2 linked regions of the Arabidopsis thaliana genome follow. The protein of the gene in region 1 interacts with the protein of each later gene in a pairwise test. Each region holds a gene or a part of one and is shown on either strand. Other genes may lie near its edges.

Region 1 (4,330 bases):
CTAATCAGATAAACAAACTCCAAATGATTTCGTTTACAGAAACTTTTTCTCAGCTTAAGAAAAATGTAAACTTTTCAATTTTCAGAGATGAAAGACAAGGAGAAGAAGAACCTTATAGAGATTGATCTTAGTGATTTCATAAGAGATTCCATTCCAATGAGCTTTAGCCATATGGTATCCGATTCCCCAATTAGGTAAGAACTGAGCAACTTCGATTAAGTTCTTCTTCTTTCTTCGTTTCGGTTTACTCGAATCGGAGCTAGGGTTTTCACTCGCCGGCGCCGCAGAGAAATTTCTTAAGAGATTAAGCGAGAGTCTGAAAGCACCAACGGTTTCGGTTCTAGAGATTGCTCTGTTAATAAGTGTCATCGCCATAGTGTCGCTCTCTTCCTCTCTCTCTCTCTCTCAAGTTTCAGCCACTGTTGAAGATCGGCGACTGAGGTTGAGGAGGAGAAGCACAACTTTTGGTTTATTCACAAACAGACTATATGTTATAATTAATTTGGTTCTAGGTGGGTTTTGTTCGGTTTAGAAGATTATCTGAAACAGAATTGGCTGTGTGGTTCCATTACATAGCATTGTTCTGAATAACTAGGATTTTTTTGTTCTTACACAAGACTAAAAGGGAGATTAGAAAACAAAACTTTTGATATATCCTACAAAATTGATGACCCTTTTCGATCCTCTTGTGATCATCCAACGAAATTGACAATCTTTGGACCTTGTTTCTTTTTCTTCACCTCGACACTATTCTGAGCTGAATCATCAGAGGTATTGATCTTCTTGCTGCTTTTGGGCTCTTCAGTGAAATCGTCTTCAAGATCGTCCCCACTAAACTTAGTGAGCTTTCCTCTTGGTGTAGCATCAAATCCTGTCATTTCAGTCAGGGAGATACAATTATGGTCTTTATAAGATAAATGAGATCGCATTCACTGTTCCGAATCACTTGAAAGAGAAACTACTTGACTAGGATCACATAATTAGAAGCTCAAGAATTGGAAGAGTGAGACAAAAGAAAATGTTACTTGAAGTCTTCTTTGGTTGGGCTGACTCTTGGTTGAATTTATCAGGACAGTCTTTGACGAGATGCGCCACACTCCCGCACACTTTACAACACCCGCCCTGCAAAAGAAGGCCCACCAAATCCATTGTTCAACATATCAAAACTCATCTTCTATGAGGAAAAGAAAAGGCTCGAAACAAGATTTGAGCATTGTACCATTGGGTAGATTCCATGCTTGTTTTCGGGACAGTTCTTGCTTATGTGCCCTTGTCCCTTGCATATGAAACAACTTGCAAATTTGGTCCCTCCTACAAAAGAATCAATACAGCAACCAAATCTAATCTTAGTGACTACTCTTAACAAACAAACAAACAAGTGACAGTATAGCCTCAAATACGTTTTCAGAGAATATAATGTTAAACTCTCTAAATAACATGAACTACACTTCAGATCATAAGTCAAATATCTGTGTACAGAGGTAAAAAAAAATACAAATTTCGATGCTAGGTTTCCTGAAATCTTGTAATATGAGAAAAGATAAATATTCCGGATCCAGAGAAGAGAAAAATTACCATCTTCCATAGGGTAAGGACAATGGGAAAGTGAATGACCAGTATCTCCACAATTGTAACAGAGCTTCTTCTCGGAGCTCTCATTGTTCTTTTCAGGGCAGTTTTTAAGACTATGCCCTCTCCTCCTACATTGCAAGCATATCTACAAACAACAAAACCAAAAACATTCATTTTCTAGTAACCAACAAGTCTAGTGATCATCAAAGTACCAACATTTCATGAAAAATTTCATCTTTGAGTTCATAAAGATTAAACCCTCAACTGATTCTAACAAGAGCTGCCAAAACCCTACTAAATCTAAAACTAAATTGAACTAAAACCCTAATCCCAAAACCAATGATTAAAGAAGAAAAGAACAAACCTTGTTTCTCTCCCACTCAGATTTTTCAGGACAAAGCTTAGCAATATGGGTTTTGGAATGACATATAAAACAGCCTTCTCCAGGTTTCATACCAGGAACTCGAAGAGGATGTCTTGTGGAAGAGCCTGTTCTCTGAGGTCTATCAGTGGAAGATCCAGGTTTCTTTTTCTTGAACAAGCTTTTCTTCTTCTTCTTCTTATTAGGGTCCTTTGGTGGCGTTGGTTCTGCTTTTGGAAACAGCTCTGGATTAGCTTCCTTGTATCGCTTCTGCGCAAGTCTTCTCCTTTGGTTCACCATTGTTGACTACTGTAATTAGAGAAAGACACGATTGATTTCGCCGGCGGCGGTGGAGGCAGTGAGACGAGGAAGACACAAGTTTGTTTGGTCGTTGAAGAAGCTCTTGCTAGGGGATGTTGTGATTTAAATGGGCTTCAATCATCTGGCCCACTGTTAATAGACCCAAATATTCATATACCTAATCTTGCTAAGGGATATTGTGTTTTAAATGGGCCTATTTCAAATTTTAGAACAGTCAGAGTCAGAGTCAAAGTTTTGTTGGAGCCGGTCATGCCTAACTTTTTTTTTTTTTTTCGCTCATGCCTATTGCCTAGCTTACTCACATAAGCATAGCAAAACTTATCCCACTGTATAAGAACATTTCCCTAACCATGTTAACAAGTATCAACTAGGGTCTAGGGATGGGCACATTGCCTTCTAATAAGTTCCTAAATATTTAGCGGTATGCATTTAAACTTTTGGCGTTCGTATACCCGTACCCAATCGAAATATATACGTATTCTTTTGGTTACTCGAATGCTAATAAACATATACTCAAAAACCAATTGATTATGAATAAAGAAAACTAATGTACATACTTTTAACGTAAGACATTCTAACACCTGTACTTTCAATTCGAGTATTTGAGATCAATTATTCGTTTGAGTACGAATAACCAAACTTTTGAATTTTGGTTATTTGAAATCATTTTTGGAGTATAGATACCCAAATTTCTACATTTTCTACTTGTTGCCATTCTAGTATCAATTAATGAACGGTACAGGATGTCCTCAATATGAGCCATTGGTGATAGACATTACCATAAAAGGCCTTCAAATTTGGTATGAATCTAGTGGTTGAGTTCATCAACTACTGATTTTTAGCTTTATTTCTTAAAACAAAATGTTGCACTTGTTGTACAAAAGATATTTTTTTCTTTGAATTTAATTTAAACATTAAAAACCAAAAACAGAAACATATTATATATTTTCACCAAAACTCAACATTTTATTCGAATCATATATATTATAAGACGTTACTTGTGTAAAAGTTACACCAGAACGCAGCCTACTTTCACCATCTCTTAATGTGTCGTGGTGTGTTTTTATGAAGTACATATATATAAGGACGCAATAAACGATGTAATACTAAAACCGTCGAACTAAACATAAATCTCTTAATTATTCTCGTCGAAAACTCATGATATCATACGTGTCCTCTCCATTTTCCCTTGCCTTAATTAATACGGTGAAGGTGCCGGCACGTAAGGCATGTTGTCCATTGAAGTAGCCGGCTCAGGTGCTATCTCGCCCAACATGACTGGTCCAACCGGTGCAAGAGTGTCCATTGCAATTCCCGAGCTCCTAATTTCCGACATTGCTCTTCTTGACTTCCCTTCTTGTGATTCACATAGCTTTGGTAAATACACTCCTATAGCAAACCAAACAAATAAATTATACCATAATCTATTAGAGAGAGAAAAGTAATATAACCGTACTGGTCTACCAATATCGTACCTTCACCAGCAGCAAGGTTGAAGTAGAGATCGACTACGTTAGGACATTGGTTTAAGCATTTAACCGAGCAGAGTTTATGTGTGAACTGAGATTCCAACAATGCGTCCGAAGATATACCTAAAGCTTTCCGGTCTAGACCACACGCTTTAATGCACTCGTCCGATTCAATAATGTTTGTGACCTTGTTAGCTTCTATCTCCGATGATCGACATGTGTACACCTCGATCCCGCTCCTCTTCATGCTCTTCTCCAAAACGCAACGTTTTCCAGTGGACGAGACCGCGAAGGCACACGTGTTTTCATCCAGATTCTCGCACTTCACATCGTCCCCTACCAAATTAATTCCAATGCTACTTAGTATTTGTACATGGAATAACAAAAGAATAACATACCTTTGAAAATGTCTTAGTTAAGCTGAACATACAATCGAGAAAGCTAATTGGGATTTGTTAAAAATTTACGATGTAAGTTCAAAATGTTTTATAATAGAACTATATCTAGCTTGTATGTGGATAACTTTGATATATAGAGCGATTTGAATAAACTTACCAAACGTCGTTTGCGAATAGATGGCAAGGAGAATCATAAAAGCTACGAAAAC
Region 2 (5,494 bases), on another chromosome or scaffold:
TTTTTGACGGTGGCTTTTAAGACCTTCTACGTGGATCAGAAGGTTTTGACTTGGACTTCTTAATTGAAACCTCTTACTCGATGAGAGGGTTTCTCAATTAAATTTATTTTTTAACTCATTTTTTTTATTTATTATTATATGCTCAATATTGATCATGGTCAATTTTTTAAAAAATATGAATAAAAAGTTTTTTGTGTTTATGTTTTTTTTTTGTTTTTTTTCATCACCTTCTTCACATGTAAACATTTGTAGTACATATTAATACGTACATTAATTAATTATATACATGGTGAACATATGATTTCGATTCAAATCGTGCATTTTGGGTTTGAGTTACAAATTTGAGGTTTGATTTGAAATTTTGAAAGTTAGGAGTCTGATCAGAAATTACAAGTTCTCTTAACTAATAGGCCACCACTCAAATAAAAAATTAATGGGGGTAGAATGTATGGATGAGTTACAAATTTGGACAACAGAATAAATGAATAGAAAAACAAAGGGACTAATTTTTAAAAAAAACAAATCCACCTTTGTGAAATTCAACAACAAATTTCTACGTAATAAACACAAACTTCTTTTACAAATAGACAGTTATAAATGTTATTTTCCAGATGGAACAATTAAATCATAGAATACAAATCAATATATAGAAGTGTGTTTTTTTTTAATTACGAGTCAGGGAAGCATCCAAGAGAATGATGAATATTAGCTTCGACCTCATTATAGCTTTGATGCATGGAAGGGAAGCTTGGCGCCGGATTATACGACTGCGTTTCGAACATAAGAATATTAGGGTTATGCGGATGTATGACTTGTGTCTCAAGCAAGGTATCTAGTGTTCTCCAATCCACACAGTTAAAGCTCTTCTCTTCTTCTTGCTCGAAACTCTCGTTCTGATCTTTATTCGTCCCTAAACTAGGCGACAAGCTCGGGCTGTCCAACTGCGGGAGCTCAATGTTGCCATATTGATGCATCGATGAGGATGTATTATTAGGATTGTAGTGGTTATTGCTCATGAGCATTTGATTAAGGTTATGACTTGATGAAGATGCACCGATATGATGACTCGTGTTCATTGTCACTGAAGATGAGTAGTTGTTACTACTTTCGACGTGGTAGAGCTGGTTCTGCCATGGCTCGTACCCTAATGGCCTCTGGTTTGGAATTGGCTTCCTAAATGCTCGACACACCACCCAGCCTTCCTCCTATAGTTCACAAACATATAAAGTTATTTAGATAACAAGTTATTGATTTAGTCCTGTTTTTTTTTTTTTTCTTTTTTTTTAATTTTAAACATTATTGAATCAAATGTCGTCAAACATGTAACATTATTGCTTAGGTTTGATAGACGGAGTATGTATTGTACTATTTATTAGTAGTTTTTGGATGATTGCTTTGATAGTGAATCGCGTATCAGTCAGAGTCTTTCAATGTGTATACCTGAACCGGGGCAAGCTCGGAGTTTTGGAGACGGTATTCGTGCATGATCCAATCGGACTTTCTTCCATTAGGAGCTCGACCCTTGTAGTAGACAAGTGTCTTCCGCATTCCGATGACACTGTTTTTTGATAGTACCGCCTTGTCTCTACCCGTGGCTTTCCAGAACCCAGCCGCAGTGGCTCGGTTGGTCCTAGTCCCGGTAGGGTACTTCCTGTCCTTATGACTAAAGAAGTACCACTCGTTTTGCTCTTCATACCCTAGTTTACACCTCGCTGCAAATGTAAAACTAAATATTAATGTCATAAATTTCTTACATTACAAAAGGTCAAAATATTAGAAATTTTATGTTTCTTTAAAAAAAAAAGAGAATATTGAAAATTATGTAGTAAAGTAATTTCTAAATGTGATATGATTATACTTTTCAACCGGTTTAATTTCAAAAGAAGTATTATGATTTATGATTGTACTATACATCTCTTAATTTCTTTGTGAAATTCTTTTCACACTCCGTTTATGAACATACAAGTCAAAGAAAGTAGGCTCTCTCAATCACTTCGCATGCCAAATTCATCACATATTATTGGTTTTCAAAACTTATGTCATAACTAGACAATTTACTGTCATTCCATGCAAAGGATTAATCAATGATAATCATTATACAAAATCCACGTTGATTAATATAATTACCTTGTATATCCCATGGCTCCATTTTGTAGAGATCAATCTCTACAATGACATCTAAAGCACTCTTCATTGAATTGATCTTCCTATCTAGGTAATAACCCACAAGCTCTTCCTCTGTCGGATGAAATCGGAATCCCGGTGGCATTGACGATTGCATTATATTATCCATCCACGATGATCCTATAAACGTATTTAATTTGGAAAATTGTTAGAGAAATGAGTAAGAAACAAGATGGAGAAGTGGCAGAGAAGAGAATGATATGAAGGAAAATGAAATGTATATAAACATAAGCGTGTCTTTTTGGAAGCTATTGCGAAAACCTTAGACAAACAAGGCACAACCTTAAAGTTTTGTATTTGGGACCAAAACCAAAGCCTATTACAAGCTTCGTTATATTTAATTATAAGAAAGGGATCGAATGGCTCTTGGGTCCAATGAAATTCCAAAAGCTGTATGTTGGGTAATGATAGTGATGTTACACACGGACGCACACGATAATATACTATATACCTATAAATATACAAACACATATATATATATATACATGTAACTAGATATTATATCCAAAAGCTTGGATCTTTAAGCTTAAGGCTATCGCTATTATATGTTGCTGATGATGGTTATGATGTATTTTTATGGGACCACCCAACAATGGAGGAGCTGTTACTATTTTAAAAGAAAAAATGCAAAAGCTTGATAGAGAAAGTTTTTGGACCAGAAAAAAATATTAGGTTTAAGGGTTTGTTTCGCCTTCTACATACCGAACGATGCTTATAAATGAAAAGATTGAAACTTTGTATAATATGTACTATATATAATGACATAAGGTAGTATTATAAGACCAAAAATATACAAGCAGTACTGTATATATCTGTAACTATATGTAAAATAATCGTATATAAAGGCTATGTAGCCGAAAAGCTTGACGGGTGGAAGTCACTGAGGTTGGAGTGTGTTACACACTCTTTGTCTTGAGTTATTTTCCTAGACTATCTATATAATATAAATTATATTATGGTGCAACAACAATTAATTTCCAAGAAACAATAATATCTTAGAAACACACATAGATTCCGAAATCCCCACCATGATTGATTTCAATTCCCCAGTTTACTCTAATATTTGTGGGTCAATCTCAACAGGACCACACACATGTATACTATTCAAGATATGAAACGATACAAAACGATACTATATGTAATATGTATGTATTTTTGAATAATAAAAACGTAAAACACAAACGCCGATGTATCATCATCTGGTTCGTGCATGAAGTGAGTACAGCAACAAAACAAAAAAACCCTAAAAGGAGCAATGGGGTGAAACTTACGAGCTAATAAAGATTGGACGAAGGGCTTGTTATTTGCAAGCGATTTTCACAAGAACGATCTAAAAGAGAGTAGCAAAAGGAAGAAGGAGAGGAAGATTGAAATCTCTGGTGGTGTGGATCAAATGATTGTTAATATAGCAAAGACAAGGAGAGTTTGGCTTTTGATTAGATCACATGCATATGGACCAGCTAGAAATCTTAGAGTGTATATATAGGTTTATGCGAGTATGCTTAATTATATGTATATGGTAAGTGTGTGACATGTGGGTGCAAAATGATGATATAAGAAGAAGGAGAAGAAGAAGAAGAAGGAGATGAAGGAAAGGTTTGATTGCGCGTGGGATAGACATCTACGGTTTGTTTTTGGTCGGCGTCTCTCTCTCTCTCTTACCGCAATTTTTTGTTTAAAGTTTTTCCAATCTTCTCCACTTTACCGGCAGTTACTGCACAAGCCAAACCTTTTTTTTATTTGTCTATTGCTCATTAGTTATTATTACATCACACAAGACAAATCCTTTAGATTAACGGTTTTTATGTGGCGTAATTAGGTCAAATGGATGTTCCGAATATATCCAAAAACTTCAGTTTGATTGGATAATATTTCATAACACGATTCCATGTATTATCAATAAAATCAGATGACAAAAAAATTACGTTTTGAATATAATTAATCTATTTTCTTAAAACACTATGTTCAGCTACACACCATAAATTCTTATACCATGTAAGATATTTTCAGTAATAAAACCTAGTTATAAATTGTGAGTGGCTTGTTGGAAATTCACAATTCAAGGATTAAAAAGGACTGGATTTGTAAACCCGAAGAAGAACTACAGAAATATATTCCTATATGTTTGCTGGATCAGGTACTGATGAAATGTGTCTTAGTTTTAGTATGTCTTATTAACCCATAGATAAGACACGTAATACCTCAAAGTTGTTGAGATATTACTATTAACTTTTTTGTCAAAGAGATATTACTATTAACTTATTAAGTATATAAACATCTCAACGTCGAAAGGATTTACACGCATGTACATTTATGGATTACTACGTAAATCTCACTCAATATACCACCGCAGCTAATTTTATAATGTGAGTCTAGCTAGATCCACTCGAAACCACAATCTCAACTTTTTCTTAAATGATTAAACTAAACTCAGATTTATAGTAAACCTAAAGGAACGAACATTGGCCATTAAAACATCAGGAATCGTGTATATATGAACATTATATTATGAAAGAAAAAATAAGGAGAAGAGTAAAACACAGGAATATGTTTCATATGTTCTTAAGTCTTTCTCCAGCAATCCAGCTCCCATTGTCTGGTTTGGTGGCGCCGTCCTTAACACGTGTCATTACGAATGTAAGACACGTAAGATTCAGACCTGTTTCTATCACATAACTAATCATTTGTTCCTCATCTGATTTATCCGCTTGCACGGGTCCACCCAAAGCCGTTGGCTGTCGTTTCTTTTACCTCATCACCTTTCGGCTTAAGGTGACGTCATCTCAGTAACTCTTTGACCCTAGTCCAAAGAAAAATCCAAAATACTTAACATATGACAAGGTAGACACAGAATTCGAGGAGAATGGATATATAAAACAGAAAAAATGAAAATTATAACAAATATTGGGTACCAAAAATAGAAAAGGCAAAAGAGGTAGCACTTGATTTGGAGTCAGATTCACATGCATGCCTATTTGTCTACTGCGCGAGGGAGAGAGAGCCTTTTGTTCAAATCCCAAGACCATCTATCCATTAACCCTTTCACACCATTCACTTTTTTCGTTATATAAATGTCCCTCGATCCCTAATTTTCCTTTCTCTAATCATAGTGTCTCTAAGTCTCGTTATACACACACACGTATATAACAATATAACCCCTAATTCTTTGCAGTCGAACCATATTTATGGACTCTTTTATGTATGGCAATATGGCATATACGAGTTACGTTCACCATGTAGAATGACTACGCTTTTTTTCTTTTTCTTTCAGTTTCGGTTTAGTTTGATACTACTAATTTTGGATATATCA

What was found. Proteins that work in one complex are often made in the same cells at the same time.
Region 2: the proteins of AT5G52380 (region 1) and VND7 interact in a two-hybrid assay, tested with the Arabidopsis thaliana proteins (one study listed by BioGRID).

Annotation. Positions count from the first base shown.
Region 1 is NC_003076.8:21,260,829-21,265,158, forward strand, and holds AT5G52380 (VASCULAR-RELATED NAC-DOMAIN 6), read right to left. Parts: upstream 2,324-4,330; 5' UTR 2,234-2,323; coding exon 1,937-2,233; intron 1,718-1,936; coding exon 1,576-1,717; intron 1,312-1,575; coding exon 1,220-1,311; intron 1,123-1,219; coding exon 1,026-1,122; intron 872-1,025; coding exon 693-871; 3' UTR 525-692; downstream 1-524. Other genes in the region: AT5G52370 (28S ribosomal S34 protein), read right to left, coding at 112-375; AT5G52390 (PAR1 protein), read right to left, coding at 3,453-3,643, 3,730-4,059, 4,279-4,330.
Region 2 is NC_003070.9:27,073,004-27,078,497, reverse strand, and holds VND7 (vascular related NAC-domain protein 7), read right to left. Parts: upstream 3,797-5,494; 5' UTR 3,456-3,796; intron 2,479-3,455; exon of another isoform or gene 2,305-2,478; 5' UTR 2,294-2,304; coding exon 2,128-2,293; intron 1,713-2,127; coding exon 1,441-1,712; intron 1,206-1,440; coding exon 669-1,205; 3' UTR 507-668; downstream 1-506. UniProt on the Arabidopsis thaliana protein: Transcription activator that binds to the secondary wall NAC binding element (SNBE), 5'-(T/A)NN(C/T)(T/C/G)TNNNNNNNA(A/C)GN(A/C/T)(A/T)-3', in the promoter of target genes (e.g. genes involved in secondary wall biosynthesis, cell wall modification such as xylan accumulation, and programmed cell death).